Linked DNA regions of Caenorhabditis elegans. The protein of the gene in region 4 interacts with the protein of the main gene of each other region in a pairwise test. Each region holds a gene or a part of one and is shown on either strand. Other genes may lie near its edges.

Region 1 (6,775 bases), on a different chromosome or scaffold from region 4:
ATCGACAAAATTGGGCGAATCTTATGAATATTCCTACATTCATTTTAAAAAGCAAGCAAATTTGAAAATATTAAATAAAACAGGGAAAAAATATTCAAAAAGGCACAGCTTGAACTCCGTATTTAAGAAACCTTCTAATAATTTTCGGCAAATCGGTAATTTGCCGAAAATGAAACTTTTTGGCTAATCCGGCAAACCGGCAAATTTGGCAGACTTCAAAAATGTGTACTTGCCGAATTTGCCGAGCTCGGCAAATGCTGATATACACAAATTAAAAATGTTGCTCAAAATTAATGGTGTTGATCAGAAACATAATGAAAGCAAACATATAACTTTTTGGCAATTTTTAAATTCCAAAAAATATTGCGATCTACCAACTATGATGACCACGGCAAATTTGGTAAATTTCTTTTCAATTTGGGTCAAAACATTTTTGATCTACTGATCTATAATCTTCAGGAACCCCATTTTCTACTCAACAAGACTTGCCTCCCGGGAAGAAACGCTCGTCGCATAGGGCATAGGGCGAATCGATAATTATTCCTCCCAGTTCGGCGCGCTCTGCGTTTCCGCAAAGGTTTTCTTTTCCCATTTTTTCTTATTTAATCATTATTTAATTATTCAAGAGATGTTATGATCACTTTGATAAGATAATACTTGTATTTCATCCAGCTCTACTATGTTTCTCAATTTCTGTTCATATGCAACCTTTAATTTATTCAAATATACTCTCCCACTCTCTCATTTACTCATTTAACTAATCATACTTTTTTTCAGAATTTCCATGTTGCGACGTAGCTCGAGGCACGCGGACCAAAGAAAGAATGGTGCACAGTTGAGAGCAGAGGAAGAAGCCAACAAGGTCAAATTGAGATTAACCGCGGAGAATGAAAAGTTGAAGAGTGAAGTGGAAAAGTTGAAGAAAGATCATGAAGAACTGTCAAGGGTTACCCTGAAAGTCAATACAGAATTCACTATTCAAGAATCACACATGGCACGATTACTGCGAGAAAACATGAGTTTGAAGGAGCAACTTAACGACTTTTCCTTCAAATTGCGATTCAGAGACGATATGTCTCGCGTCGAAGAACAAGTGAAAAAAGAGCAGGGAGTCACAGACGGGTATCGAAGGAGAGTGAACCAATTGACAGAATTTCATGTGAAGAGTCAGGAAGAGCAACGAGGAGAACCGTTCCCATGGAGAACCTGCGAAATTTGTGCTTGCAAGTTTGAGGGAGAAACTATGGATCAGACTCCGCGAGTTTTGGGTTAGTTTTAAATTATTTTTTTCTAAATTCAGTAGAAAACTGAAAATTTTCAGGCTGTGGTCACACGATGTGCATGGGATGTGTTCAAAAAATTGTCGGGCAAGGGTACATCAAATGCCCTTTCTGCCGGATTGTCACAAAAATTGGAACTACGCCACTCAATAATTTGCCAAAGAACTACATTGTTCTTAATATGTGAAAGGATTCAATCTACTGTTTATTCATAATTAAACGTATCATCTCACTCATAATGAAACGAAATCTTCAAATAAAAGTCATGAAATCCTTGAAATCATCCATTCCATCGTCTTGTTCATCCGTTTCATGCCGCTTCATATGTAACTGCAAATGATCACTTCTCGAAAATTTCCTGGAGCATTCTTTGCATGCAAACGGTTTGGCTCCAGTGTGCTTACGGTAATGGCGGGTTAGCTCGTCGGATCGTGCAAATCGCCAAGAGCATCCAGGCCATTCACATGGATACGGCTTTTCACCTAAATGAGAAGATTATTATCGAATAGGTAATACTTTGGCAAGCTGCTGACTAGGGAATGTTCAAAACTCCAAGTGGCCATTTGGTGTGAAACTAACATCATTTGAAAGCTGAGATTTTCAGCTTGAAAAATCTTAATTTCTGCTGCGGATATCAAAAGTTGTTGAAAATTTACGACCGGATCTGTATAAAACTGACTTTGGCTATCCGTTTCTCAAACCTCAAAATTAAAAAAAAGTGCTCAACTAACATAAAAGTTGAAAACTTTACATCTTACCGTTTTAGAAATAAAAAGCAAGCTAATTTCCCAAGAAGCAGTTGCAAATTTATAAATTTTTAGATTTTCGCAGCAAAAAAACATTTTAAAAAGCTTAGCTGACGATCTCAGTGTCAGATCAAATCGCGACTCTGAGTTTCGTCAATCACCAGATAAACCAAAATATAATAGATATTTCAGGCGTTCTTCCTGCAAGCAACTTTCGCATTTTCCACACTTTCCGAAGCATTAGGAATTGGGTAAGTTATTATTTTCCAATTTTCCCGCAACCCTCCTAATTCTTATATCCATAGGCCCACGCACTTAATTGACAGTTTATTGATACTTTACAACTCCTTATTCGATACTTCTAAAAGGGGGATGCCGCGAAGTACCGGACAAGGCCAAATATTGATATGGACTAACATAACATAGCAACAGTAGTTGATTCCTGTGCATTCGTTACAAAAAGTATCTAGTGATTGATGAGAAGCGTGTTTGTCAACGGAAGTATCCCGTTACACAGAACAATGTGCCGACGAGTGCGCGCTGTTCACGACATTGAAGAGGAGGATATGATTAATTATGTATAATGAGGTTCTGTAAGCTACTCACCACTATGAACACGCTCATGAGCTGTTAGATGGGAACTTTTTGTGTAGACCTTGCCGCAACCTGAAAATGAAATTCAAGCTTAAGCTAAACACGCTTGCAACTTACCTTGATAAAAACACTTATGAACTCTTAATCGATCCAAAGTAGCCTTATCCCTCCGTTTACTCGGCACCTTTTTTGGTTTTTCAGTGCTCTGCGGATGATATACTCTTCCACGATCTTTTAAAGGAATCCTGGGATCTTCCTCGTCTTTACCCGACAAATCGCTTGAAAATGAGTAACTGGATACAGACGCTGCAGGCGATGGAACGAATAACTTGGCTTCAAACGGATATGGTGTCGAGCTTCCCGAGTTTTGATGTTCCATTGGAGTCATCGAAGGTTCCATGTGATTGAGGTGAGTTTCGGAATTATTCTGTTGTGGAAAGTCATGGGAAAAATTGAAAGAACTGTGCGGGCCTTGTGGAATATTTTCTTCGAAAGTTTGTTGGACATGGTTATGATGATTGTAGTGCTGCTCGATGACCTCAAAAAATAGAAAATTGAATTTAAAAACTTCAATTAAATACAAAACCTGATTATTAACAGGTCCCGTATGAAAATGATAGTTGTGAACATTGATGACTGGAGCCGCAGCTGCTCCATTATAATGATGATGAGATTGTTGGTGATAATGCTGCTGATGATGTTGGTGATGGGCATTTTGGTATTGAGACTGATGATAGTAACCATTTGAACTAGACGGGACTATGCTAGAGTACATCTGGAAGGAGTTGTAGATGAATAACGATAAATTGAAAATCACCAAAAAAGAGTGAGACTCTGAAACGAATTTTCAAAAATTACATTGTAACAGAAGGTCAAATAAAAATTAGCATAGGCAAATACTAATTCATTTTGTGGTTAAAAAAAGATGTAATGCCTGAACCTAATTGTATGCATAGTTCTAAATTTGTAGTGAAAATCTTAACCATAAGCCAAAGTAAGGCAACTTCTACTAGTAGATAGTACAAATATTCCAACACTACAACAACACCATGTAATACCGTTGTGCATACACACACGCACAAATGTGACGTCTTCATTCTCGTTCAATACATTTCAAGTCATAAAAGTCTTGCGTTCTTCTTTGCCTACTGCTTACTTTTCGATATTTGTTGTGAATTTTCAAAGCGAAAGTTGTAGTTCTTGTGAATATGTTTTTACGTCATATCACAAGTGTATATACAAATAGGGGGAATTAGTAGCAAAATTTTTGGATCTTTTTGATATTTAGAGAATTCACACTCAAACCGAAATATTCAAGAGATAAGAAAGTTAAAGGTGGAGTAGCGCCTGTGAGAATTTTGTCTCACTTATATTAAACCAAAGCGACAAAATATCATGATGCAACACTCCTAAAAATTTTAGGTTTCTCATAATTCCAGGTCAAAGTTTTGGCACATTGCCAAAATATTGAAAAATATGAGCCTTTGAGGAAATTCAATGCAGTGTCGCATGTTCCGACCCCTATAATTTTTTAAAACAAATAATTAAAACAAAATGAAAATATAAAAAATGCAAGAAATTTTTTTCCGACTTCTAAAATTATGAGTGGCAAAGAATGAGCACTTGTCAGTTTTTGACAGTAAATAGAAAAATTTCAAAATTTTTTTGAAAGTTTTATTTTGATATTCGGTCATTTTTGACACCATAGGAGTTGTTTTTAGCATTTTCCCCAATGGCGCTGCTCCATTTTTAAGAACTTTCAAGTTCGAAATTCTGGGAACTAACTACTAACTATAAGGCTCTAACTCTCAATGCACTGAACACGTAGGAACTAACTCACTAAAAACAAAATACCTATGTACTCACCACAAAGAACAAAACAATGTTAATGCTAGATTACAATACGTGCCTTCATTAGTAGAGCATCTATCGTGAAACTAAAGAAAAATGACTAATGTTTCCACAAAAATAAACATCCTAAGCGAATATACACACCTCTTCTGGTCTACAAAAAAGTGAGCTCCCCAGGCTCCAAAAAAGGGGTGTGGTGACACCAGACCGGTCACTCCTATGATAACAAACAGAAAACTTGAGCAAACTTTTCTTTCCCCCCAAGAATAGAAAATACAGAAAACTTGAGCATGTGTAGATGGTGGTCATGATATGTTTGATCTAAAGATTACGACACTTTTGGGCATTTCGAAAAAAAATAAACATGTCAAGAAGACGATGGTCAAGCTAGAAGAAAATTATCCAAGAAGGCGCACATATGCCCTGCAAGTGCCATTTTATGATAGCATGTCAAAACTGATAGGCATGGGCAAACAGTAACCAAAAAACGGGGAGGTTTGTTGTTTCTCTGAGAAAGGGGTGGCAGAAAGGTGTGTGCGCGGAAAATGTGTGGAGGGGAGATGGGTGTCATTAATAGAAGAAGGAAGGGAGTTTTTTGGGAAAAGGACATGTGATAAATAATTTTGTTTTCAAAGTTCAGAAATTTTATAGAAAGAACACAAGGCTTTGTAGTGCTCCAAAGTTATGCCGGTTTTGATCAATAGTACAGTACATCACGGGTGGGTGGCAAACGATTTTTCCGGCAAATGGGCAAATTGCCGGCAAATCAGAAATTCTATTTCTATGAAAATTCTATGAAAATTTCAAAAAAAAAAACGGAAAAAAATTCAAAAAGGCACAGTTTTAAGTGTTTCCGTCTTATAAAAAAAATCCCTCTAAACATTTTTGGCAAATCTGATATCCATCAAATTGGCAAACCGGCAACTTGCCGAAAATGAAAATTCCGACAAATAGGCAAACCGGCATTTTGCCTATTTGCCGGATTTGCGGACAGTCAAGTCACAACCAAGATTTGGTTTTAAATCTGAAAATGACGTGCGGGACTAAAAACAGAAGGGAAATGTAGACGCTAGATTGAAAAAAAAAACTATACATATCCACAAACAGTATCACTTACAGTACTCTAAAATGATACCCCAATGCTGTGTTTATCCAAACGTCCCCCCCCTCCCACCTCCAATTTTAGTACCCTCTTCCCTACCGCCTCGCCTTGCTACAGTCGGGAAGTTATGATTTTACGGGTGCGAACAATCCAGTAAGTGGGTGCGGAAGAGGAGGAAGCAGTGATTACTGTTAAAAGTGCCGACTAGGTATGTAAACGTACTTGAGAATATTGTTTGGACGGGCGGTCTCCTTTTTTTCAACTGCGGCGGGACCATATCAGTTTTATGATTGATTAATGTTTGATATATTGAGATAATGGAAAGGTGTGTTCGACTGGTAAAACTCGCAGTATGGTTTTAACTGAGGCAACTCCAGCAACCTAATTCTTTGTAAAAATTGTAACCGTCAGGATTTTGAGTTTTGACAAAAAAAACTAATAAAAATATTAGAAGATCTCGAAGAGAATTCAGATGTGAGTAAACAAGTATGTACATATGTTCTGAAATATATTTATATATACACATATATATTTACATAGACATACAAATTTAGTGGCAATGTATCTTTTTGTCTGACACTCTACATTTTTGCGTGTTTAAAAGTGCAAGATGAGTCGTAAACAATTTTCATTCGATTTTTGGAATCTGGTTTTTAAAATTGAACAGCAAGTAATAGATCGTAAAAGCAACACAAACCAATAAGGACGTTGCAAATTGACCGGAGATTTCTGAAATTTGTTTTTTTTAAATTTAAATTGTTGATGTACTTACTTGCAATAATATGTCACCAGGACCATAATCAAATTTCCAGTAGTCCCAATTACAAAAACTGTACAATAAATAACGAAAAGGATAATTAGAAGAGGTTCCATTTTTTGAGACAACGGAAGTGAGAAAATACAATAACTACAATCTATTATATAGGTATTTTTTATATCCTCTATAATTTGTATTATGAAAATAGGTGAATTCTAAGAATCCCTTAAAAAATATATATAATAACTTTAGTATAATAGTCGTTAAAAATATTTCTAGTTTTCGCAGATAAGTACATAAAAAACAAGACTATCTAAGAATAATCAAAAATCTTTTCCAGAATTATCTTGTTTCTAGATATGATAATCTATTACATATAATAGGACCTCATTAGTCAGCTTATCTTGAAAACGATACAATATACAAAATAACTCCCAACACAATC
Region 2 (6,897 bases), on a different chromosome or scaffold from region 4:
ATGCATATAAACATGGATGGAGTGGGCGGAGCGAATTCGCAATCACCGCACGCTTATTTCGCAAGCCTCGCACGTTTTTTCCTTGATTTTGTTGCATTTTTTCAAAAGAAAAAACGTGCGAGGCTTGCGAAACAAGCATACGGCACTATCAAAATTTATGAATCGATCCTTGGATTTTGCAAAAACTTTTGTCGTGCAGAAAGTTGGGCGAAGCGTCCTTTCGCAACACTGCCGCGTGGGGTTTGCCCACGGCCCTTTTTAACTGCTTTCTTGTTGATTTTTTAAATAAAGTTTCGATTTTTCTTTTTTTTTCGAATGAAAATGTTATCCAATTCGAAAAAAGAGAAAAATACAAGTAAAATCGAAACTTTATTTGAAAAATCAACAAGAAATTAATTTTTGCAAAATCCAAGGATCGATTCATAAATTTTGATAGTAGTTGTCAATTGGCTCCGCCCACTGCATCATTTTTTGGTAAATCCTGTTTTGAACTGCATTCTGTTTTGGTGGGGCCTCGAGACCACAGCTTTACATGGAGGCTTAGCCCATGCACCAAGTGAAGAGCTAGTCATCAATGCATCTAGACTGGAAGGATCCATCGCTTCCCGAGTAAAGTTGCTTGTGATCAAAGGTGTCAGTGTCCCCTAAAAATTACAAAAACGGGACAACGGGAATTCCCGTTCCCGTGAAAATTTTTAAAACGGGACAACGGGAATTCCCGTTTCCGCGAAAACACCCAAAAAACGGGACAACGGGACATCCCGTTCCCGTGAAAATGACAAAAACGGGACAGCGGGAATTCCCGTTCCCGTGAAAATTTTAAAAACGGGACAACGGGAATTCCCGTTCCCGTGAAAACACCCCAAAAACGGGACAACGGGACAAACGGAACACGGGAATTGACATCCTTGCTTGTGATGGGATTGGAATCGGACAAAATCAAATGCAAGGTCGCAATCATGGCTGAAATTAAGAGTAGAGGGAATCTGAAAAGCTCCCGAAAAATTTTTGAATCAGCTGCAGCAAAATTTCCGAACTGCCAGTAAGACAACATTTTTTAATCAATTTTTTTGAAACTGACTTACTTTCAGAGCTATAATAACCGGACGAGTCATTGTAGAAGAGAACGCAAATCGCGGTGCTGAGGCTGAAAAGCTTACCCGTGATTTTATCACCAAAAATACTGACGTCAGCGGAGATGAGTTGATAAAATTTATCAACTACATGGAGACCTACGATTCCAAGTTTGGTTTAAAGGTAAGCCTGTAAAACACTGAAAAATGTTAAACGAATTATATTATAACTATATTCTTCGCAATAGTGATTCAAATTGAACCATTTCAGGCTGCAATTCAAGTTGCAAAGGACAATCTTCCATGGGCCGGCGAAGAGAACATAGACCAATGGGTCAACTGGGTCAACCTACTGATTAGTCTGAAAAGTTTCAAAAGTTCCAAACTTTTCTGTGAACACGGCATGCCAGCAGCGTTGGGGAGTGTATCTTTTCTTAAGTTTTTCAATAGATCTTTGCGAAAACTGTAACAGGATCGACACTGACCGAAGCAGATCAGGTGTTCTCCTGGATCCAGGAACACAACAAGAAATTGCGGGAAAAGACGGCTAATGTAAGTTTTTCGGACTAGAAAATACTCCTGGTTTTTTGTTCAAAAGTATTATATCAAATGCATTTGATGCAAATGCAAATGCAAATGTAACCATAAATATCATTATTTTTCAGGTGGTGCAGGATGAGAGCGGCGACGAGTAGGATGCAATCACAAAATTTATTGCTTTATAATTTTTATAAAATCCGCTGTTATTAATATTGTAAAGAATGTTGAGTAAATAAATTTATTATTTAAAATTTTTTGTTAAAAGAGCTTGGTACCCAAATGTATTTAAAATTGCCATATTTTGAAACCATTTGAAGCGAAGTTTGACATTTTAATCAGACATTGTTTTTTGTTCTTAATATCTTTAACATTTACACGTTTTCCTTTTTTTAAAGAAGATCCATCCAAAAACTCCGGAGCTTCTTTTCCCTAGTTTTAAAATCTACGAGTGAGACCTCTTATCTGCCAATACGCTCTATTGTGTGCGTTGCGTGTCAACCGCGACGCTTCTGCGACATATTTTGTCTCGTTATCGACTATAATTTTTCCCCAATCCTACTGAAATCTTTCCATCTTACATGTAATTCATTGGATTTTATTTAAAAATTTCTGTTAAAGTTTCTCAATATCGCTCTTTTCTTATTTTAAATAATTAAGCTGTAATCTTAGATACTTTTTGTGTTGCGAAATCTCTGATAGAAAGTTCCGCAGTTTTTAAACGTTTTTTGTTGCTTTTTACTTGCGCTACTATTCATTTATCAAGTTTTTTTCTTTCAGCAGAATGAGTTCAAACAGACAGGCTTATTATAAGAACAATGCCAAAGAGCAAATTGGCAAGGAAAAAAGGAACGAAGAAGTAAGTTCGATAAACTTGTTAACGCATACATTATTCAATTTTAAGGTGGTTTCGATCAGAAAGGATAAACGAGAGGAGGCAATTTCCAAACGGCGTAATATCAATACCCAAATTGAGTGAGTTTTTCATCTGATTTTATATGCTTCAGCTATGAGAGCTAACAAAAGTGTTTCATACGCTTATCACAGTAAATTATCTGTTCCAGTTTTTGAATTGTTTTAATTTTCAGAGATGATTCTGAGACTTCAACAACCCCACCAGGTCCATTTGATGCCAACCTCCTCCGGTTGACAGTCGCTGCTGCCCAATCGAGCGATCCCGCTGAGCAGCTGACTGCTGTTCAACAAGCCCGTAAAATGCTATCAACTGATAGAAATCCACCAATTGATGACTTGATTGGCAGTGGGATTTTGCCTGTCCTCGTTCAATGCTTGTCCAGCACGGAGTAAGAATTTTCATAAGGTCGCATCAAATTACTGTAAATTTTCAGTCCAAACTTGCAATTTGAAGCTGCATGGGCCCTTACCAACATAGCATCTGGTACATCAGAGCAAACACAAGCCGTCGTGAATGCCGGAGCCGTTCCTCTCTTCCTGCAACTCCTGTCATGTGGAAATCTGAACGTTTGCGAGCAATCTGTCTGGGCTCTTGGTAACATCATTGGAGATGGACCACATTTCCGTGATTATTGTCTCGAACTCGGAATTCTCCAGCCACTATTGCAGTTCATTAACCCGGAGATACCTATTGGCTTCTTGAGAAATGTCACATGGGTTATTGTCAATCTCTGCAGGTGCAAAGATCCGGCACCAAGCCCAGCTGTGGTTCGTACGATTCTTCCCGCCCTCTCACTTTTGATCCATCACCAAGACACCAACATCCTCATAGACACCGTTTGGGCCCTTTCTTACCTCACCGACGGTGGAAATGAACACATTCAAATGGTTATCGAAGCTCAAGTTGTTACCCATCTCGTTCCACTCCTTGGACACGTTGATGTTAAAGTTCAAACAGCAGCACTTCGAGCTGTAGGAAATATTGTGACTGGAACCGACGAACAAACACAACTTGTGTTGGATAGCGGAGTAAAAATTTTCATTTATGACTTTTCCAAATCTTAAATTTCAGGTTCTTCGGTTTATGCCAGGACTTCTCGCCCACTACAAAGAGAAAATAAACAAAGAGGCTGTTTGGTTTGTCTCCAACATAACTGCTGGAAACCAACAACAAGTTCAAGACGTATTCGACGCCGGAATCATGCCAATGATTATTCATCTTCTTGATCGAGGAGATTTCCCAACTCAAAAAGAGGCAGCGTGGGCTATTTCCAACGTTACAATCTCTGGCCGTCCAAATCAAGTTGAGCAAATGGTAAAGCTTGGTGTCCTTCGTCCTTTCTGTGCGATGCTCAGTTGCACTGATTCGCAGATTATCCAAGTAGTGCTTGATGGAATTAACAACATTCTGAAAATGGCTGGAGAAGCTGCCGAACAGGTGACATCAGAGATTGAAGAGTGCGGAGGTCTTGACAAGATAGAAAATCTTCAAAATCATGAAAACGAGGACATTTACAAACTGGCTTTCGAAATTATCGATAACTTCTTCAGGTAGGAGTCCAATTATATTTGATAAAAATCTTCAGAGTCCGTGTGCGAATGTTTGGTGTATACGTTTTTATATTTTCAGTTCCGATGATGAGACTGGCAACGTGGAAGGAGCTCAAAGTTCTGCTTTTGGAGGCGACGTTCCACCAGTTCCTGATGCTCCAAACGGAGGATGGAACTTTGGAAAGTAGATCTCCATGATTCCTTTAATCACAAAATACGTTTTGTCTTATTTCTCGTAAACAATTTCGCATGCCGTTCCCATACAAATGTTCATGTAGTTTTCGTCTTACTATTTTTCACACCTCACTTTTTGTTAGGTTCTCGTGTATTTTCATCTGACACGCGAGTTCCTAAGCCAGCTTCTCGGAAATGCAAGCTCTCTTTCATGTGAGATTTTGCACTTTTTGACCAATTGAGTTTGCACGTTCTTCTACAATCGATTGTCAATTATCTCATCCTTTCTTTATCTCTTCGTTGTTTCTGTACCATCAGTGATTTGATTAACATTTCACTTTTTCATCCACCATCTTTTTTCCATTGTGATTAATTAGTTACAATGTCCCCGCCCTCTTCTTCGTGTGTGCGAGAGTGACTGTTTTATGATAATATATTTCGATTTCTTTTTAAAGTGAGTGTGTGAGTTGTGCATTTTTGTTGAGTTTTGTTTTCATTTTTGTTTCCCATTCGCGCCCGTTCATTGCCCGCGTCCCCCACCCTCATCCTTTTATCATTGTTACCGCGTCGTTTTCAAATCTCTCATCATTTTTCCCAGTCCCTCCAATCCCCACGGTCCCCAGATTTTCTCTCTAAAAGCGAGTATTTTCATTTTCTTCACATGTTACTTTTATTAATTCTTTATCATATACATAATTTCAATTTCTTAGAACTTCTGATCCCCCTAGTTTGCTCATTTCCTAGTCATCCATCATCATTCTCGATTTCATTAGTTCTCGGAGAATCTCGTTGATAGGCCAAAAATTCCAATCACCCTGCTCCTCTTAGTTCTCGTGGACTCCAGTATTCTTTTTCTTGAAACCCCACCCATCCCGTAAGGCCTTTTTAAAGGTATATCGAGCCGTCCCTCTTCTCATCATCCATCTTCTTTTCTCATTTTCCCTCTCATCTTCCTCATCCCATTTTCCTTTCTCCCGTTTTGCTATTCTCGATTGTCTCGACTGACTGGCCAATATTCCCTTTACCTGGTGTGTGCTCTCATAATAAATAAATCAAATTTATTTGTTAAAAGTTGTTGTAAAACGAAACAATAATACACGATTTTCATTTATTTCATGACAAACTCAAATTTTCCGGTTTCTTCCAACAGTGAGCAAAGTTGTTCGGGGTCCACATTATGTTGAAGAGAAAGTTCGTCAATTGAAGTTTTTCCATTACACCGTTTCAGGAGACTTAAAATTGTATATTATTAGATAGTATTAATTGATTAACTTACGTGTTGTTGCCTGGGTTTGCAACACAAATAGGATATTTAGAAAGTTTACGAAGAAACTGATGATGCATTCCAAATTGTACAAGTCGCTGTTCATCAATACCCATCGATCTTGGTTTCTCCAGATCGGCCCATTCTGCTAGATTGTTGCCGCACTGAAAACGTAGTCGATTGCTATCAGATTCGTCGATCGGAAGTTTAGGTCCCACCACTTTCATGCTCAAATAAAGTCGGAACACATCCGAAAATTCTGGAGTTCGCGTTGGAATTTCTGAGCCGTCTGCACCGATTTCCGTTTGAATTTTCACAAACTCAAGGCAGTCATTGATTTCCGTTTGATTTTTGTAAAAGTCGTGAACTCTTTCAGTTGCCACATATGTATTATAGTAGAGAAACATTGGAACAAGACTGACACATTCGTAGAAGTGTAAATTACGAACACATCTGGCGACGAGGGATGGATCAAGTTCGAGAATAATAGCAATCTCTCGAACTGTATTGATTCCATCAATTTGAGGAATAATCTTCTGTGACAGAACATCCATTTTTTCTATGAGATGATCGGTAAGCGTCACTTCTCTTATGAACATTGGAACCATATGATAATCGATTTCTGGAGGTTCACATCCACGATACAATGGGCATAATTTGAAATATAATGTCACAATCTTTTCATCTTCAAGACTGACTTCAATCACACTTTCGCCTAAATTTAAAATCTTGTTATTCATAGAAAAATACAAAGTTTACCTTTATTCGACAGATCATTGAACATTCTCTCCATTACATCAAGAACCTGATCCTTGTATTTTGGATTTGTGAGAAATTTGTATTCCATCTCCAATTCAATCAAATATTCCGCGCATTTCTGTACAATTGGCTCATACATTGTTTCTGCAGATGATGTCATGTCAACGATGAAAGCCATATCGAAAGTGAAACGACCACGTTCGTAGCTTTTGTGATCTATTCCAACGGGAAACATGAGAACTTTGCAGCGAAGAGATTTGATGGTCAGTGAAAATGAGTTACGGAACATGGATGGTTTTGGAATGATCAAGCCTGAAACATAAATTCATTTTATTATTTGGATTAATATAACATACCTTTTGTGAAGTGAAAAGTTGCCTCAACTTTATTATTTTCTTTCGGAACAGAATGTTTGATGATTGCACCTAAAGTGTTATGAAATTCTGCCAACAGAATTCCGAGAAGTTGTGGGGCATCATCAAATGTATAATGACCGAATCGACCACCACTTGAATCACCTGTTGCAAAAGGTCCTGCTCCGAATGTCGCAAGAGTTTTTTGACGCTGAACCATTGTTTAGCGTTTTTTAGTCTTATTGTAAGCGGTCCGCTTGATGACAAAAAT
Region 3 (9,508 bases), on a different chromosome or scaffold from region 4:
GTTTGGTCAGTTACGTAACGTACAGACTGAAGACTGAAGACTCGAGCAATCATGCGCAGAGTGTTACCTTGATTCTTATCATGATTTACGATAATTGTAATTATACTCCTATCTATCTCTGTATATTGAGGGAAACGAGAACCTCATGAACTGGCAGTGAAAAATGTGCTCTTCCACGAATACATTTTGTTGGTTGTCTAACAAAAACGCATTTATCAGAAAGTTGTTCTTCGGAAGCAGTTCTTCTCCCGCAAACTGATTTTTTTTCTCTAGCAAACTGTTAAGAGAATGTGGAAAGCAACTAGAAAAACGTAGCGAAAAAAAATTAAAATTATTGCAAACTGTTCAAGTCACATATTTCAACGCGATTAGTTACTGTGTCACAGCGGGATGTCAGCACAAAGGACATTAATTGAAATGTATGGAAAACTGAACAACGGCGTTGAAACATTGCGGGAAAATGAGATTCAGCAAGTGCAGTTTGTCAATTGAAGCTCAAACTTTGAAAAAGGAATGTAACGTTAAAACTTAAAAGTGAAGTAATGTATAATCAAAAAAAAAAAGTTTTATGATTTTCAAATTGTTCTATTTTCAAGTTTCTGTTCTTTCTGGGAATTTCCGTCGAAGATTGTTTTTTTATTTGTCGAAGATTGTTTTCCTATTGTTTTTTTTTGGAAAAAATTGAAAAAATTGAAAAAAAAAAGCAAACTTTGGAAAATTTTAAAACAATTTTTTACACTTCCGTCTTTGAGATTAAAAAATTTAATTAAAAAAAATAGTAATTCCTGGAAATTATCAAACTGAATATTCATAAAACGATATTTTAAAAAGCACCGGAATTTTTGTTTTTATTGTTTTCTGAATTTTTAAAATTCATAAAATGTAAAAATGTAACATTTGTTTATAGTTCAAAAAATATATTCAACAAAATTTTTTGAAAATTTTTTGTGCATAAAATTGTGAGGAAAAAATTGCAAAATTTCAGAATCCAGCAAGCTAATTTTTCATTCATCAAATTATGTGAATAAACATGAATTTTTAGGTTTAATGCGAAATTGTAAAAAAAATATGGCAAAAACTGGAAACTTCGCCAACCGTGTTTCTCAATCATGTTCTGTCAGATAACTGACGAAAGGCACCTGCAATTTGTGTTGTGATAGTTCTACTTTTTATCAATCTGCTAACAAATATAGATGCAGTTTGAAATAAAACAACAACCCATAAATAGTTCAAATGTCCTTACAAATGGCTATAAATAAAACTGATCTAGTAGTCGCTAATCTTGACAAAAATATGAGAAAGAGAGCCACTATTGTTGGTCCTGCAGAGCACAATGTTGATGCATTGGGTTCTTGGCAAGTCCCCGTGGGACACTGCCCAACTGAACCGGATTGTCCGTAGTGAGCAGCACACGACTCATAACCATATACGCTGGGCCAATGTCAATCACAGACTGCCTGCCAATCCATTTAGCCGTTTTCCTAGCCACCATGACTTTTTTCTAGTATTCTATTCTCCAGTATGTTTTCAACAAAATTTATTTTGAAATGGGAAGAAAATTGATGGGACAGTGGGACAGAGAGAAAGCTTGATAAAATTACTATTCTAATCGGAAAGAAATGTTTGGGATGGGTGGAACAGATAAGGAGGCCTTCAAAAATTCTGAATATCAGTTGAAGTTCACTAGTTTAAAATACATTCGAAGAAATCATTGAAATTGTACAAATTTTGATGAGGGGTGGTGGTGAGAAAGGAAAATAAAACACTAACAACAAAAACCTAACAATGCAAGGTTACGGAAAAAATTAACGGGTCCAAAATGACTTTTGACACGTGTGCAAATGAATTGAAACAAGATAGAGAGCAGAATCAGGAGAAGATGAAGAAAGTTTTTAAAAATGTAAATAATGATATTTGATGGTTTAATATTGATGAGAAATAGACAAAAACACGGGGCAAATACTTTTGATAGAGACAAAGAGCTGTTGAGAATCAATGAGAAGAAGCAGAATCATTCGTTGTTTCCCTGTTATGAAGAAAGAAAGTGACAAATAAAGAGGTAATCAGAATTGACTGTGAATATGCATCGAAAAAAACCGAAGAAAACCGAAAAAAAAAACAAAAATTAAAATGTGGATGAAAGAATGGGGGTGTTTTGGATTCGCTAGACTGACTACTAAAACTGAAAGGCAATCGGGGGGATATTTCTTGGATGATGGTGAATTCAGGCGGAAGTCGTTGCTTGAGTACTATGATCGGCAAAAATGACATGAGTAGTGAACATGTACTTCTCGCCGCACTGAGTTCCGCACAATGCGCATTTGAAAGGATCACCGTCCGAGTGAAGACTTTTATGGAGCAGGTACATTGTGTTGTCGTAGAACATCATTCCGCAATGACAGCATTCCTAAAATAATTCTAGAGTTAGATGCCATTAAATGAGTAACGGTTATGAGTGTTTTGAGTATATATACAGAAAGCGCACGAATTAACGAGCTTTGCAATGAAGTTTCTAACAGAAACTTTTTAAAAAGTTTTTTTTAATCGAAATTTGAATTTTTGAAAAAACCTGCCAAATTCTAGCTAAAAACTGCAGCAGTCCGAACTTTTTTTTGAATGGTATCAGCTGCTGCGAACCGGAAAAGGCAAAGGCCGGGCTTTTAGCTAAAATTAACTCTTTTTTTTTGAAATTTTTTGAGAAGTCTCATTGCAAAATGTTCAAAATACCTAAAACCTATAGTTTTCCTTTAAATTCAAATTTCGGAAGAGAAAGTTGATAGTTCTGATAAGGTGGGTGATGTAGAGAATCCATCATCCTTCAGATTTCAAAGAAAACTTGTGACATCTACGAGAAATTGAAAACCTCCTCATCAAACTATACATGGTGTAATGTTCGGTTTTTCTATCTCTTTTTTTAGATTTTTTCTCAAATGAGAACGTTCCGAAAGTTGCAACAAATTGGCAATCATTTAATCAGTCTATGTTTTTAAGGTTGATAAAACCAAATTTTGGCATCAACAAAGAAATGGATCAAAAGTCCCAATTTTTGGAAAAAAAAACTCTGTTGACGATGCTCACAATTCTAATTGCACTTCGAAAAAAGGTAAACAAAATGGTGACATTTTCAATAACAAGTTGTTATTAGCGATAACACATACCACATTCTCCTCGTCTTCTTTTTCGGGAGTCGGTGATTTCTCTTTTTCAGTTAACGAAAGTGATGACTCATTGGCTGGCGGCGAGTGCGACTGTTCACTCGGACTTGGAGCACTGACACTCACAGAGCTTGACGTCTGCTCTGACCAGAGTTGCACCTGATCCTGCTTCACAATCGCTGCCACTGCTGGAATGTTGTGAAGAGCCTGAAATGCAAAGGTTAATTAGCGAAAGTGTGAAGGTTTCATTGATACCGGCAATGGAATATTTGGAATGTTGAGCATTGGTCTTGGGATGTTTTCTCCGAATCCATTGAACTGGTTCATTTGGTTTAGACACATCAACAAAATATCTGGGTTAGCCATAGGGAAGCTTGGTGGCTGAAAATAAAACCATGGAATCATGGAAATGCTTTTTATTCAAAAAGAAACGAAAGAAAGATTCTTACAATTTTGTCGAATTCAGAACTTGTGGAGTTATCGGAGGTGTCGGTGTTTGGAGGGCTAAACTCTGATTTCACCATTCTTTGCAACTGTTCTGTTATGCTCATGTTCGCAGGATCCATTGGCAAAGCATTTCCATTCGACAGCTTCTTCCTTTTTGGCGTGTTTTCTTTTTTCGGAGAAGACTGAAAATCAGAATGAGAAATAAGAGTTCACGTTCAGGATATCACATGATGAGAGAGATTCCACGGAAAGTGCGTCTCTTGGGGCAACCGAATTAAGCTCCGAGAACGAGAAAAACATCACCTAATAAGGCTCAGGTTCTGCTCGCTAATCATGTGTTACGTTTCCGTGTAATCTGAAGTTACATCTCTTACCTCAGAATCGTCATGTCTTGTCTGGAAATGAAGGAGAAGACGTCGCGAATTGGCGAACATCAAATTACATCGCTTACATGACGCGGGATTTGTTGACGAAATTGTGTGCGTTTCTTCCAAGTGTGCTCGGAGTGCATTGTGCTGACTAAACTGCATGTTACATTGTGATACTGGACAGTCGAAACCAAAACCCGTTTTGATATGTGTCATTGAATGCTCTTGCATCTGAAAGTTATAGGTTTATTTTAAGTTACATGTTTAAAACATGACTACGGTATGTTTTTAACATCTAAAAATCGGTTTTCACTTTCACACAATATTACAATTTACAATTTTCTCTGGTTTTCTCCTCGCCCCGCAACCTTTGTCTTTCATTATAAAAACCCCTTTTGATGCGAGCGAGGGTGATGGCTTTCAACTTTTCGGGAACCAATCAGAGACGCAGCTAGAACAAAAAAAAAACCGCCGACGGTTGGTATTTCTTCTTTTTTTTACTGATTGGCCCTGGGGGTAAGGTACACAGTAAAGAGCGGCAAAAATATGGAGACATCGAGAAGATGCTAGAAGGTAGGATGGGAGGTAGGATCTTCCGAAGAAAATGCGCGTGCTATCGTCAAGGTCTTTTACTTCTCATCTTCACCAACGTCGTCGGATAGTATGAAGAATCGGAGAAGAAAGACGCGCCAACCGTTTTCATATTCGACGGCATAACCTGACACCAATACCGTCAAATTGGTTCCCCCCGATTTTCCTGTTTTCTTCAGGCTCGTCGACCTTCAAGAACGGTTTTGGGCAAACAGATATCATCAGAGCGCTTGAAGAAATGGTTGATGGGCACTGCGGCAGTTCCCTGCCATCCATGGAAGAGACTCTTCTTATTTCCGGGAAAGTGAAAATATCCAAATTGAAAACGACCTTCAGGCGGCAATCCGCCGCCTCCTTCTTCCCTCAATTTCCCTTTCCTTACGGGAGATCAGTTTCACTTTCCATTTGATTACGTAAATTGAAGATAAAACACGATTTTTGAGTTACGGAAGGCGGCAGCGGCTTCTTACGCAACAGCCGTTAAATGGTGGGGCTAGGAGGTGGAGGGTAATAAAAAATATGCCAGACAAGCATACCTGATCTTTCCTGAAAAATCGTTTTTTGCAAAAACGACACTCGTATGGCTTCACACCGCTGTGGCGCATCCGATGACGATGCATGTTAGCCTGAAAACGCAACATTGATAAACCACAGGAAGAAAGTGAAAAGGGAATCAAAGAAGAAGATCAATCAGCACGATAACCATACTTGGAAAATCCAAATGATTCAAAAGTTGTCGAGTGTTTGAAAACCAGATTCCGATTCAGAAAATGTTTTAAAAATTGCTCACCTTCTGGCTGAACTGCATTTTACAGATGTCGCATTGGTACATTTGGCCTTGATGGCGTTCATGCGCTTCCTGAAATGTTCAAGAATCTTCACTGGTATGTCATGTGATTTCTAAGGTCATCACGTTTTTTGTACTGCCCCCGTATCTGGTCTTCCCGTTTCTTTTTCCAAAAACGCCTCTTTTTCCTCCCATCTTCTTCCACCCATCCCAATCTCTACCGCTTGATGTCACTACATAACCGAAAAAGGGAAAATCTATGTTTTTTTTGGTTTGGTTTCTCGGAAGATTCTGCCTTAACCAATTAGTATGACACCGGCTCACATGAAAGGCAACATCCTTAAGAAGAAAAGCCAATATATGAGGAGCCTGCCTCCTTCTCCCATACCACTCCACTACTACTCATCCCGATGACCGTTCGGGAAGTGATGGGATTGGCCGTCGGAACAAAAAACAGTAGGGTCAAGTGAGAGACGCAGTTAACTGGACAGTAGATAGAAAGTAAACAGTAGTTTGTGAGAAAAGCGGCATGGAGCGAGTGGGAGAAGAGAAAAGGTTCACGGAGTGTTGACTTACAGGACCCACCTTACAAGGAATTGATGAAAAGTGGAAAAGAGGGAAATTGAAAAGACTTTCATATCCATCAACAGATTTACATGCTAAAATTAATTTGTACCCTTGGGAACATGCGTAATAATGTACTGAAAGTATCTTTCACTCTTCCGTCACCTATAGAACAAGAGAATGCTTTCAAGAAAACGGGTAAAAATCCTTGAACCTACCAAGTGGCTTTTCATGTGTTGCGACATACAAGTGGTGAAATTACAGTGCGGGCAAACGTGAACCGTCTTTTGTCCTTTGGTGCCTGGTTCTTCTGAAATTTTTAGGTTTCACAATTGCATATTGGTACTTGGTAATTAACCATCAATAGAAATACATTCCAGTGTGTAAGAAAATGCAATTCAAAGAAAACTTACTTTTGATGAGAGTGTTTGTGATTTCTGTTATCGAAATGTGATGTTCAAGATGTTCATCCGAGTCCGGACTCGGCGTTGGATCTGAAGGGGGCGTGGACCGTGGCGACGGCGTGGACGACTGAATACCATCTCCCCACTCGATTGTCTGAAAAGCCTTGGTCTCAATGTTTCTAACGAGTCTCAGGGGGCATGTCTGGAAGACGTGTTACAACGTCACATCCAACATCCCTCCCCTCTTCATTTTTTCCACGTTCTGTTGTTCCCTCACATATCTTCTCTACCTCTGGCACTAATTAGGCAAATATGGCATTATGACGCAACCTTTTTTCTATATCTCTCACTCACACGCTCTCACTCTTCTGGATGAATTTTACTCTCCCATAACATACCTGCGAGTTAGACATTTCTCCGCTTGAAGACCTGCTGTGCTCGTTTTCGTGCTTCTCTGCAAAAAAAAAGTATTAGGGGGTAATGTTGCTAAATGTGAAACGCAATAGAAGCGGGTTAGTTAATGGGTTGAAGCGCTCACTAAACCGCTACAAATCCGAATTTTTACGGGTTTGTCTCCGTTCTAAGATGAAAAAAAGATGGACAAAGCGCGGGTAGGTGGATGTTTCAAACGAATTGGCATTCATGTATCACCGAACAGGTTGGTTACCTATATGTCCTTGAAACTCGGAAAATACAGTAGTCGTGAATCCGCATTCTGTGCAAGCGTTCAGTTCATCCATTGTTGAGATCACTGAAATGATAACCATAGCAAAATGAAAAACCCTGACAGGGAATATCTGGTAATGAGACGAAAATGGGCGACAAAAAGAAGAACAACGAGGAAAAATAGGGGAAAAAAGCGAGGAATATGGCACGACGAGACTTGCACACAATAATCAGGTGTGTTTACGGATGGCAGAAGATAAGAAAGGAAATGTATAGGAAATGGTAACAGGCGGATATAGGAATATATGGGAAAATTGGAAAATGGAAATACTAAGAGTGACTGGAAAAATATGTATTATCGGAGCGAAAAAAGCGGAGGAGGGGGAAAAGGAGGAGCCGGATCCATAGGTATGATCACATTGACAAGCATTTACAACGGCTCGCCAAATTACTGGTTACGCGCCTGGATACGAATTTGGGGAGTAGGCAGTAATTTATGGATAGCCAGCTTCTTTAGCAACCACTGCGAGTTGGACTTGTTATGAGTGTGTTTGATTTAGCGAGAGCCTGGTCCACGGTTTTGAGAGCAGCTAGGTGACCTCGCCTAGTTGTTTGTCGTCTCGCGGCGGCGGAGGCGAAGAAGGACCGAGATACGGTTTCCGGGTTTGGCCAAACATCTCAACCCGATGCCTCCCCGTGTACTCCATAAGCTGCTTCTCCGGATTTGACTTGCACTCATAGCGACGAGCTACTGTGTGCTTACTATATTTGTAAGAGAAGTGGTAAAGTGTGTATTCGCTGGGCAGTAGGTATCTTACGGACCTTTACGAGGAGCAATAAGAAAAAAAAGTTGATGAACATTAAAAAAAACAGGAGGAACTAATATGGATTAATTATCGCATCCAGACATGGTGTGTAAGATACGAAACATCAAAACATATATACTATTACACAAAATTTGCATCATAAACACGAAAAAGAGATTTGATGGATTGGGTGGATAGGGTAAAAATGTTATAAAATGAAAATTTTCAATGATCAAAATCTGAAACCAGCACAAAAATAAGATTCAGGAACCTGAGAAAAAAGAACAGGATCTCAAGGAAGGCAAAGTAATGCCAGGTGGATTATAGCACAATTATGTTGATGATTGCATGGCTGTGTGTCTATACTGGATTACTGTCAATTGCGCGTAACCACCACTACAAGTTCGAGACTAGCAGGAAGGTGGTCTAGATGGACAGATGGTGCTAACAGGTAATTGAGATGGGTGAAGTGACTGGAGAGCAAACTCGCATCTAGTATGACGTTACGTTTGCGGAGGAGAACGGTAAGATTGCGATACATAAATCTAGGTTCTATGTTTTAGGTTCTAGGATAGGAAGAGAAATTTGGGGTGTGAGGAATGGTGGGGAGCAAATATGGAGTGAAGGAATCTCTGGGGGTGGGGCACCGCAGGCATTGGATACGGTAGAACTAAAAGTGCAAAAGCTGGCAAACTGATATGGGGCGGATTACACCTGGGGGTGGCAGGGCGGAAAAACGACTTTACGCGGATGGCAATGAAAAAATGAGATGGCGGGGATCGAGGGGGGGAGGAGGTGACGGTTTCTGAATGGCATTTACAAGAAGAGAGAAAGGGGGTGAGATAGTGCGTGTGTCGCGGGGTGCCAAACAAGCTTTTTTGGGAATACGATGAAGAAAAAAGAAGAAAAACGATGTAGAAGAAGAAACTGTCGATGGCAGCAGCAGCGGCAGTGGCGGCAGGCAGCAACGGGCATCATCTCTATCTGTCGCCCGGGGGCGCAAGATGTAAAGAAAAAATCGAGCTGCGCGCACCTCATCAGAAAAACGCAGCGCCCACCCCCACACACACACACACACTCACACCGTTTCGTTCGGAAGAAAGAGAATGAAAAAATTGGAGAGAAGGCACTGGGGGAGAGGGGATGCCGTTGCGGGTGGCCTAGAAGGTCGGCAAGGTTAAAGTGAAGACGACGGGATCTTTTCAGACCATACTAGCTGCAGCAGGGAGACTTCCTCCCTCTCCGCACTATGTCTCCTCCTTACGATGGAGAAAAAAACCCGGTTTTTTGTGGCAGTGAGAAGAGCGTCTGGAACATAGTAATGACCTTCCAATAGATAAGGCATGTGGAATTACAATTGGATGAACATTTGGGAAAACGTCAAATGTAGATAAAAAATTGGAGGGAGAACAAGTGATTTTGACGATCTCGTGGTTTTCCAAGGATTATATATCATTCTAACATTATCTCTGTGGTTTTTTGTCCGTTCGGAAATGTTACAAAATTAGAAGACAAGGATGTTAGGAGAAGGTGTGAATGCTTGCATATGTGTCTTCTTCCTGTATGTTTTGTTGTTTCGTCTGAACGTATGATCAAGTCAAACATCTACAGTGTCACGAAGATTTTAGTTCCGAAATTGATTTTAATTTTCATGTTTTCAATTTGTTTTGATCTTTAATGAGTTATGAGAGCACCAAATTCACAAAAAGTACAATAATGT
Region 4 (6,392 bases):
TTCAAGAATCGCGCCGGCATGTGAAAATTCCCGGGAAAAATTCGAAAAATTCTAAAATTAGTGTGAACAAAGCGAAAAAATTGGAACCGAGACGACGATCGGACGAAGATCGTGTTCCAGATGGACCATACATCGGGGAGGGAGAAGTAAAATCGGAGAATTTCGCGGCGAAAATAAAGGAAACGTTGAGAAAAGGTGGGGTGGCCATGATTTATAGGGTCGCGAGACTATGTTTAGTTGATATTTCGATAAAACATCTGTGAAACCATTAAAAATCACAAATTTCCCGCAAAAAATCAAAGAGAAATAACGATTTTTGCAGAAAAAAACAAAGAAAATTAAAAAAAAATTTTTTTGAAAAATGAAAAGTCCGCAAATACGCGTGGCGGTGTTTGCGTATTTCACCAACTACCGTACCCAAATATTATTTTTTTCAGCTTCCGGATCACGAATTTCGAGATTATTTTCAGCACCATAATCTAAATTGTTATTTTTTCAGTTGTTAAATAAAAAGGAGACTCATAATGAATTCATTTTATTTTATCACATTGCAGATTGATCACATTTGAAATGCGCAACTATATTTTGTATTAGGAACAGTAAATACAAGAAAATGGGAGACAGAAGATGAGAGAGAACCCGTAAAATGTTGATTTTTCCATATAAAGTATTAAAATATTAAAAACAAAAAAAGAAAACAAATTCCACTAAAGTGTCAACAGGGATTTTGAAAGAGCATCTAGCTTGAATAGTTCGAAAAGTTCCGCCGATTTGTAGGTTTCCATTATTAATTGATTCATTTCCTGAAAGAAATAAACATTATTTTTTAGTCTCATTTATCAGTTGTAAATGAAAACTTACAAAAACAGTTCCCATTAACAAAATGAGATTTCCTATCCTCATGCCAGTTTCATCAGGATTTCCGTACAAATCATCATAATAATTGTGTAATCCGTTGAGCAATGCTTCTTCGTGTTCCTTCCCGATTACTTTCATACTTGGAGTAAATTCACAGTAACCTACAAAATATTTGATTTTTATTAATTTCTCACTAGATGAATTCTAACCCAGTTTCCAAATGCACAAAGCTTTAAGAGCTGCAAATTCCACGTGTGTCATTTTTAAATTCCGGATCGGCCGGCAAATAGCGTCATTGAAGCGACCCAAAAAACCAAGAAATAGCCTGAAAAATAATATAAAATTCAATTGACCAAAACATTCAAGTTTTCAGGACAATTATTTGATGCAACATGAATGAAAAAAGGTCGTAGTGACCTTATTTAACAGTAAAGTTATTCCTAATTCACATTTTCTATTTGAATTTCAGTTTGTGTTATATTAACTTTAAAAAATTTTTCTTCATGGTGCATCGATAGCCAAAAATTTGGTTCTCTCTAGAGAGCTCTCAATTCAAAATATGCGCCCAAAATCAAATTTTTCCTTATTCCAAACGAATAAGTGCTCAAAATATTGAATGAATTACTCACTTTTTCTTATCATGCGCACAAATATCCTCTTCATCATCCCATCCATACGATAAATTATTAACTGTACACACACTTCCATCCGTATACATTAAAACTGGCTCGGCGGCTTCTTCTGGGTAAGCTTGTACAGTAATCCAAGCGATATCCAGCAGGCAGTAGGCTAATGAACAACTTCTAAAGAAGATTGCCTTTTCCACTCGACTAAGAAAATCGAATCCGGGGCAACATTTACAAAAGTCAAATGCCAGGAGATTATCGAATCGTTGAGATTCGTATTGTCGTTTCAGAGAGTGAGGAGGTGGTTCCGTTGCGTCAAATGGCTGCAAATTTGACCTTTTCGACTAGGAGTATAAAAAATGTACCAATAAGCCACGCCCATTATTTTCAACCTGTGCACAGTTTTAAACTTTAAATTTTACTTCAAAAACTGTGCACAAGTTGAAATAAATTCCGATTAAAATGGGAAACTCACCACATCGCCTCGATCATCAATGACAGCTAAAAGTGCAGTATCCGTAAAAATCATTCGTCGCCGGTCCATTGAGTTTTTCAACTGATCCACATAAAATCGAAGCAACTCTTCTCCGTTCATACTGAGGATTTTCGATTCTGCCAGTTTTGGAGACGGTGCTGAAATTACTTGATTGGGTAAGTTTTGTTTGAAAATACTGAGATGTCCCTTTAAAAGTACATGACGTCTTTCTCCGTGGGTCTTGCCACCACTAAAAAACTCACATCTTTCCAACCTCTGCGTTGATCCACCACTCGTTGACGGGATATCGCTGGGGTCAAACTTCTGAAAATTTAGAAAAAATATAAATGTTTAAGTTTTTGTTCCTAGAGTTTCCATGGCAGGCAGGTTTCAGTCCTACATGCCTGCCTAACACATGTTTTTTTTCTAGGTCTTATTGAAGGCTTGAATATTCATAAGCACTTACAAAGTCTGCCATCATTGGGCTGTCATTTGGAAGAAGTCCGGGCGGCGATTTTTTCTCAATCGACAGAGGAGAATTGTCATCAGTTTGGTCTGAAGTATTTGGGTTTTTTCAAAAAGGAGTTAACGGGTCTCGCCACGATACATTGAGTCACGCGTACTTAATGCATCGTATTTTACACGCAAGTTTATTAACTTCAAAAAGAGCACTCACCTCCAGAGCATTCAAACTTGCACTCATCATATTCCATCTTAATTTGATCTTCTCTCAACATATTCATATGTTTCTTCGGAATTTTCTTATTCGACCTTCTTTTCTGTACACATTCTCGCCGCATACCAGCTTTCACACATTTATCGAATCGACAAGCTCGGCAAATCATTCGGAGTTCTGGAAAAGTAGTTTTAAAGTGGGTGTGTAGGTAAGTTGCAACTCCGATTCTATCACGTAAGCCTTCAGATCGGAATATGCCTGCTGACTGACCCGGACTACTCCCAAAATATATGTGAACAATCTTTTTTTATTTTTCGAGTCTATCCCCTAACCTAGAAAAACCTATAAAATGTTGAGCGCTGCATAATATATTTTTTTCCGTTCTATGAAACGTAGAACATTTTTGGTTATTTGCAGGACCTTAAAAATTCGGCCACATTTCCAGATGCTTACCATGAAATATCACGCAGTTCTTGTCCTTTTTGCACTGAAACTGAATATTCAGCGATACGGTCCTTCGGAAAAACGCGGCACACGCCAGACATGATGTACTCCCAAAATGCGCGGAGCCACCATCTGGATGCTCACAAACAAGGCATTTGGATGTGGGTGGAATGCCACTGTAACCACCACTTGATCGTTCTTGTTTCATTCAATGTTTTTTGACAGCTGAAAATTATTTTTATGAGCGAAATGTACACAGCCAGATGAGTAACAAATATATAAGGTCAATATTTAAAAAAAAAGAAGTTCAATTGACCGGAGATAATACGTTCAGAGAAAAAATATGATGATCATCTGTATGAGTGAAATAGAGTGTGAAATTGTGCATGACATTTTGAGGAATACTATCGCGAAAATAAATGAAACCGGTCTCTCCTAGCATCATGATCTCTTGAAATTGCGCGTTGAGATATAGTCTATTTCTGACAGCATTTTATACAATTTAAAACGTTTCTGCATAACTGGCATAATTTTGTACATTTAAGAACTGACGATTTTTCAGTAACTTAAATTTTTACACCGAGGGTACTAGTCAGAAATACTAATAATTTGGTTGCGACATGTTATCCTTTTTCAGAGATACAGAAGCTTAAAGGCACATGGCTCCAAGTTAATTTTTGTAAATTTGCAAATTGTAAACCTTGGCTATCATGTAAAAGTTTAAACAACAAAGGAATTACTGTTATACATAACTCTCCGAAAAATATTTCCCCACGCCTCTTTGATTCAATTATTGGATAGATACAAAATAGGATGTGTGTAGGTGGTGGAGCTGTGATCTATGTTATTAATATTATAGTAATCTATGAATTGTATTAATATACATCTCGAAATTGATTGTTTTGGATGAAAATGTGATCAGTTGAAAATACTTACCGTGTTTTTCCGATTGGTATTTTTTCCTCTATGAGCAGTGTCAAGCTTTGTTTTCAGGGCATATATTTTTTAAAGTCAAAATAAATAAATATTTTAATTATATCAAAACTTTGTGAAAGTTTGAAAATACAATCCAAAATTTGAAAAAAAAAATGCCAATTTGCCATGCAATTTGAATGAGAATTCGAAAATCTGGAAACTTTTAAACTAACGATAAATAAGTTTGTAAATTTTTAGAGTTAGAGGTATTTTCAGTTTACACAAAATTTTCATGGTTTATATTAATTCTAGGTTTTGAAATTTGCCAAATTTTCCAAAAAACGACCACTGCTGAGATTACCGGTATTTTTCGATTGCGATCCTTATTTTTTGCAGGTGAAAATTTTTTGCTACGACTCATAAAAATTAAGTTAAGAGCTGTTGAAAGTTGCTCTAATATTGTAAAGCTTTCCAAAAAATTTTTGAATTTTTTTTTCACTAAAAAATTAGAGATTGCTATGTTTTTACCTACCATAATATTGGAATTCGGCCAAAAAAGTTTTCTCTACGATTTTATATTTCAGTTAGGCTTCAAAAATTTGCATTTAACGAGTGTAGGGCTGCTCATAACTTATTGAAAATCTAGAACATTTTAGTGAATCAATTTTTAGACTATTTCGACAAAATCCAACTTTTCTCTGCTTTAATGTTTAAAATCATTAAAAGGAGAAAATTAAATTTATTATTTTTATCCATCAAAATCGTTTCTCAGAAACACTTTTCTTAGTCTATTTTCAGAAGAAAAGAGAAAGGAAAAGCCTTTCAAACTTGTCCCTATTTACAACTAGACTCTAGTTTTCTATGCTTTCATCACATGTTTGCAATGTCCCGAAAAGCGGAAAAAAACACACGTGGGAATTTTTTGAAAGTAAACATTTTGATATTCCCCAGATAAAAAGTGATATGATGCTGATTCAAGTGATTCATATAATCAAATAATTAGTAGTGACGTGATGTTAATGAATTCTGCAGGGATTCAAAGAGATCAAAAAATTAAACCTGGTTTCAGATTTCAAAAAAATTTGGCTGCATTCTTGAAACTCAGTCAGATTGTTTGCGAATAAATTGTTATTTTGATTCAGAAATTTTAAAAATAGTCGTGAGAGGGCGCAGACCAATCAGCGATGCGCAGTGGGCGTAGCCAACATAGGTGATTGGTCGGTGGCCGCCTTTTTTGCGTGGGAATTTGAAATTGAATTGGCAGAAAAAAAAATAATAAGGGGAAATTTCGAATAGAAAATTGTTTTTTGGCAAGTTTTGATTTTTTTCGAATATAATTTTGTTGAAATTCGACGAATTTTAAAGCAATTTCCAAAAAAAAGTGTTTTTAGCAAAAAAACGTTGTTTTCTCTGCAAATATCAATTAGTATTCAAATTTGATAAAACCTAAACAATTCTAAACATTTTCTGAAAATTAAGCAAACAATGTTCTAGAAACAATAAAATTATAAGCCTAGAGATTTATACCCCAGGTCCAAAAATTTGTTTTTTTTTCGATAACGTCTTCCATCAAACACCAGTCACAAAAATCTCAAATTATTAGATCAAGAGAGCATTCTGACCAAGCAGAGGGGGGATTAATCGAGCGACGACTGGAATAAATTTATTAACGGGAGCTTTAGGTCGTCTAGAAATAGACACACGAGGAAGAGAAAACTACGCAGACTAAAAAATTTAATATATTTTTGTTTATGCTAAACAGAAGACCAAGCTATATAAAATAAGTTGAACTTTGAATTTTTAGTAGAGAACGATCAGAAAAATTATTTTCGACAGCATTATCGTTCAGTCGATGCACCATAAGTTTAGCTTAACATTTTTCTAATTTTCTGGGAGGTTATACAAAGTGATTTGAGAAAATTAGAGGTCGAAAATTTATCATAATTCACAAGGATTTATTGTATTAAAAAATACACTTAATAGAAGATCATAAAAGGGTGCTATTCCCAAGGAAACTACCAAAATGAGCTCATAGAGATGCGTTCTAGACAGGAAAAACAAGGTGTTCACTGCACAGACCACTGGCACGAAACTCCAAATTTTGTTCTTCTTCGATCACTTTTTCCAAGGGGAAATTAGAATATTATTCATTTGTGCACATTAAAAATAAAAGGAAAAACAAAAAGTCCAAGGCACAAAATTTCGCAAGGAAAAACTCCAAAAAAATGAGAAGAGGGTATAGGAATTTCAAAAAACTGGTTGAGCAAAAAAAGATCGAGTTTCAACTTCAAATATTTATATTTTGGTCAAATATGTGTTGTTCGCCCTTTTGTGATTCAAATAACCGGAGACAATTGATTAGAAAAAACAGAGAAGAAAAAGGGCGAGAAGTTGCAGA

The links.
Region 1: the proteins of nhr-20 (region 4) and klf-2 interact in a two-hybrid assay, tested with the Caenorhabditis elegans proteins (one large-scale study listed by BioGRID).
Region 2: the proteins of nhr-20 (region 4) and ima-3 interact in a two-hybrid assay, tested with the Caenorhabditis elegans proteins (one large-scale study listed by BioGRID).
Region 3: the proteins of nhr-20 (region 4) and ztf-16 interact in a two-hybrid assay, tested with the Caenorhabditis elegans proteins (one large-scale study listed by BioGRID).

What each region holds. Positions count from the first base shown.
Region 1 is NC_003283.11:20,683,528-20,690,302, reverse strand, and holds klf-2 (Kruppel-like factor 2), read right to left. Parts: upstream 4,621-6,775; 5' UTR 4,605-4,620; intron 4,574-4,604; 5' UTR 4,487-4,573; intron 3,396-4,486; coding exon 3,207-3,395; intron 3,159-3,206; coding exon 2,738-3,158; intron 2,693-2,737; coding exon 2,633-2,692; intron 1,763-2,632; coding exon 1,533-1,762; 3' UTR 1,473-1,532; downstream 1-1,472. Other genes in the region: F53F8.3 (RING-type domain-containing protein), read left to right, coding at 785-1,268, 1,322-1,467. UniProt on the Caenorhabditis elegans protein: Probable transcription factor which regulates lipid metabolism.
Region 2 is NC_003282.8:7,557,158-7,564,054, reverse strand, and holds ima-3 (Importin subunit alpha-3), read left to right. Parts: upstream 1-2,390; 5' UTR 2,391-2,394; coding exon 2,395-2,469; intron 2,470-2,514; coding exon 2,515-2,585; intron 2,586-2,698; coding exon 2,699-2,914; intron 2,915-2,959; coding exon 2,960-3,554; intron 3,555-3,597; coding exon 3,598-4,076; intron 4,077-4,155; coding exon 4,156-4,264; 3' UTR 4,265-5,314; downstream 5,315-6,897. Other genes in the region: F32E10.9 (TPR_REGION domain-containing protein), read left to right, coding at 918-1,042, 1,092-1,257, 1,345-1,542; nprl-2 (Nitrogen permease regulator 2), read right to left, coding at 5,359-5,482, 5,527-6,229, 6,274-6,585, 6,630-6,846; F49E8.8 (Phosphatidylinositol-glycan biosynthesis class F protein), read right to left, coding at 6,850-6,897. UniProt on the Caenorhabditis elegans protein: Binds specifically and directly to substrates containing either a simple or bipartite NLS motif. Promotes docking of import substrates to the nuclear envelope. Seems to act as a cytosolic receptor for both simple and bipartite NLS motifs.
Region 3 is NC_003284.9:4,804,470-4,813,977, forward strand, and holds ztf-16 (Zinc finger protein ztf-16), read right to left. Parts: upstream 7,072-9,508; 5' UTR 7,057-7,071; coding exon 6,984-7,056; intron 6,771-6,983; coding exon 6,715-6,770; intron 6,471-6,714; coding exon 6,326-6,470; intron 6,223-6,325; coding exon 6,131-6,222; intron 5,777-6,130; exon of another isoform or gene 5,639-5,776; intron 5,421-5,638; coding exon 5,352-5,420; intron 5,188-5,351; coding exon 5,098-5,187; intron 5,036-5,097; exon of another isoform or gene 4,895-5,035; intron 4,202-4,894; coding exon 3,977-4,201; intron 3,785-3,976; coding exon 3,605-3,784; intron 3,537-3,604; coding exon 3,411-3,536; intron 3,363-3,410; coding exon 3,159-3,362; coding exon of another isoform or gene 3,075-3,158; intron 2,408-3,074; coding exon 2,225-2,407; 3' UTR 1,529-2,224; downstream 1-1,528. UniProt on the Caenorhabditis elegans protein: Positively regulates the expression of ver-1 in the amphid sheath glia of amphid sensory neurons. Together with ehn-3, plays a role in somatic gonad development and is required for proper gonadal primordium assembly and somatic gonad precursor cell morphology.
Region 4 is NC_003281.10:4,229,916-4,236,307, forward strand, and holds nhr-20 (Nuclear hormone receptor family member nhr-20), read right to left. Parts: upstream 3,305-6,392; 5' UTR 3,288-3,304; coding exon 3,089-3,287; intron 2,813-3,088; coding exon 2,636-2,812; intron 2,515-2,635; coding exon 2,426-2,514; intron 2,284-2,425; coding exon 2,223-2,283; intron 2,118-2,222; coding exon 1,960-2,117; intron 1,808-1,959; coding exon 1,488-1,807; intron 1,184-1,487; coding exon 1,068-1,183; intron 1,020-1,067; coding exon 862-1,019; intron 804-861; coding exon 708-803; 3' UTR 521-707; downstream 1-520. Other genes in the region: F43C1.5 (uncharacterized protein), read left to right, coding at 1-195, 438-478. UniProt on the Caenorhabditis elegans protein: Orphan nuclear receptor.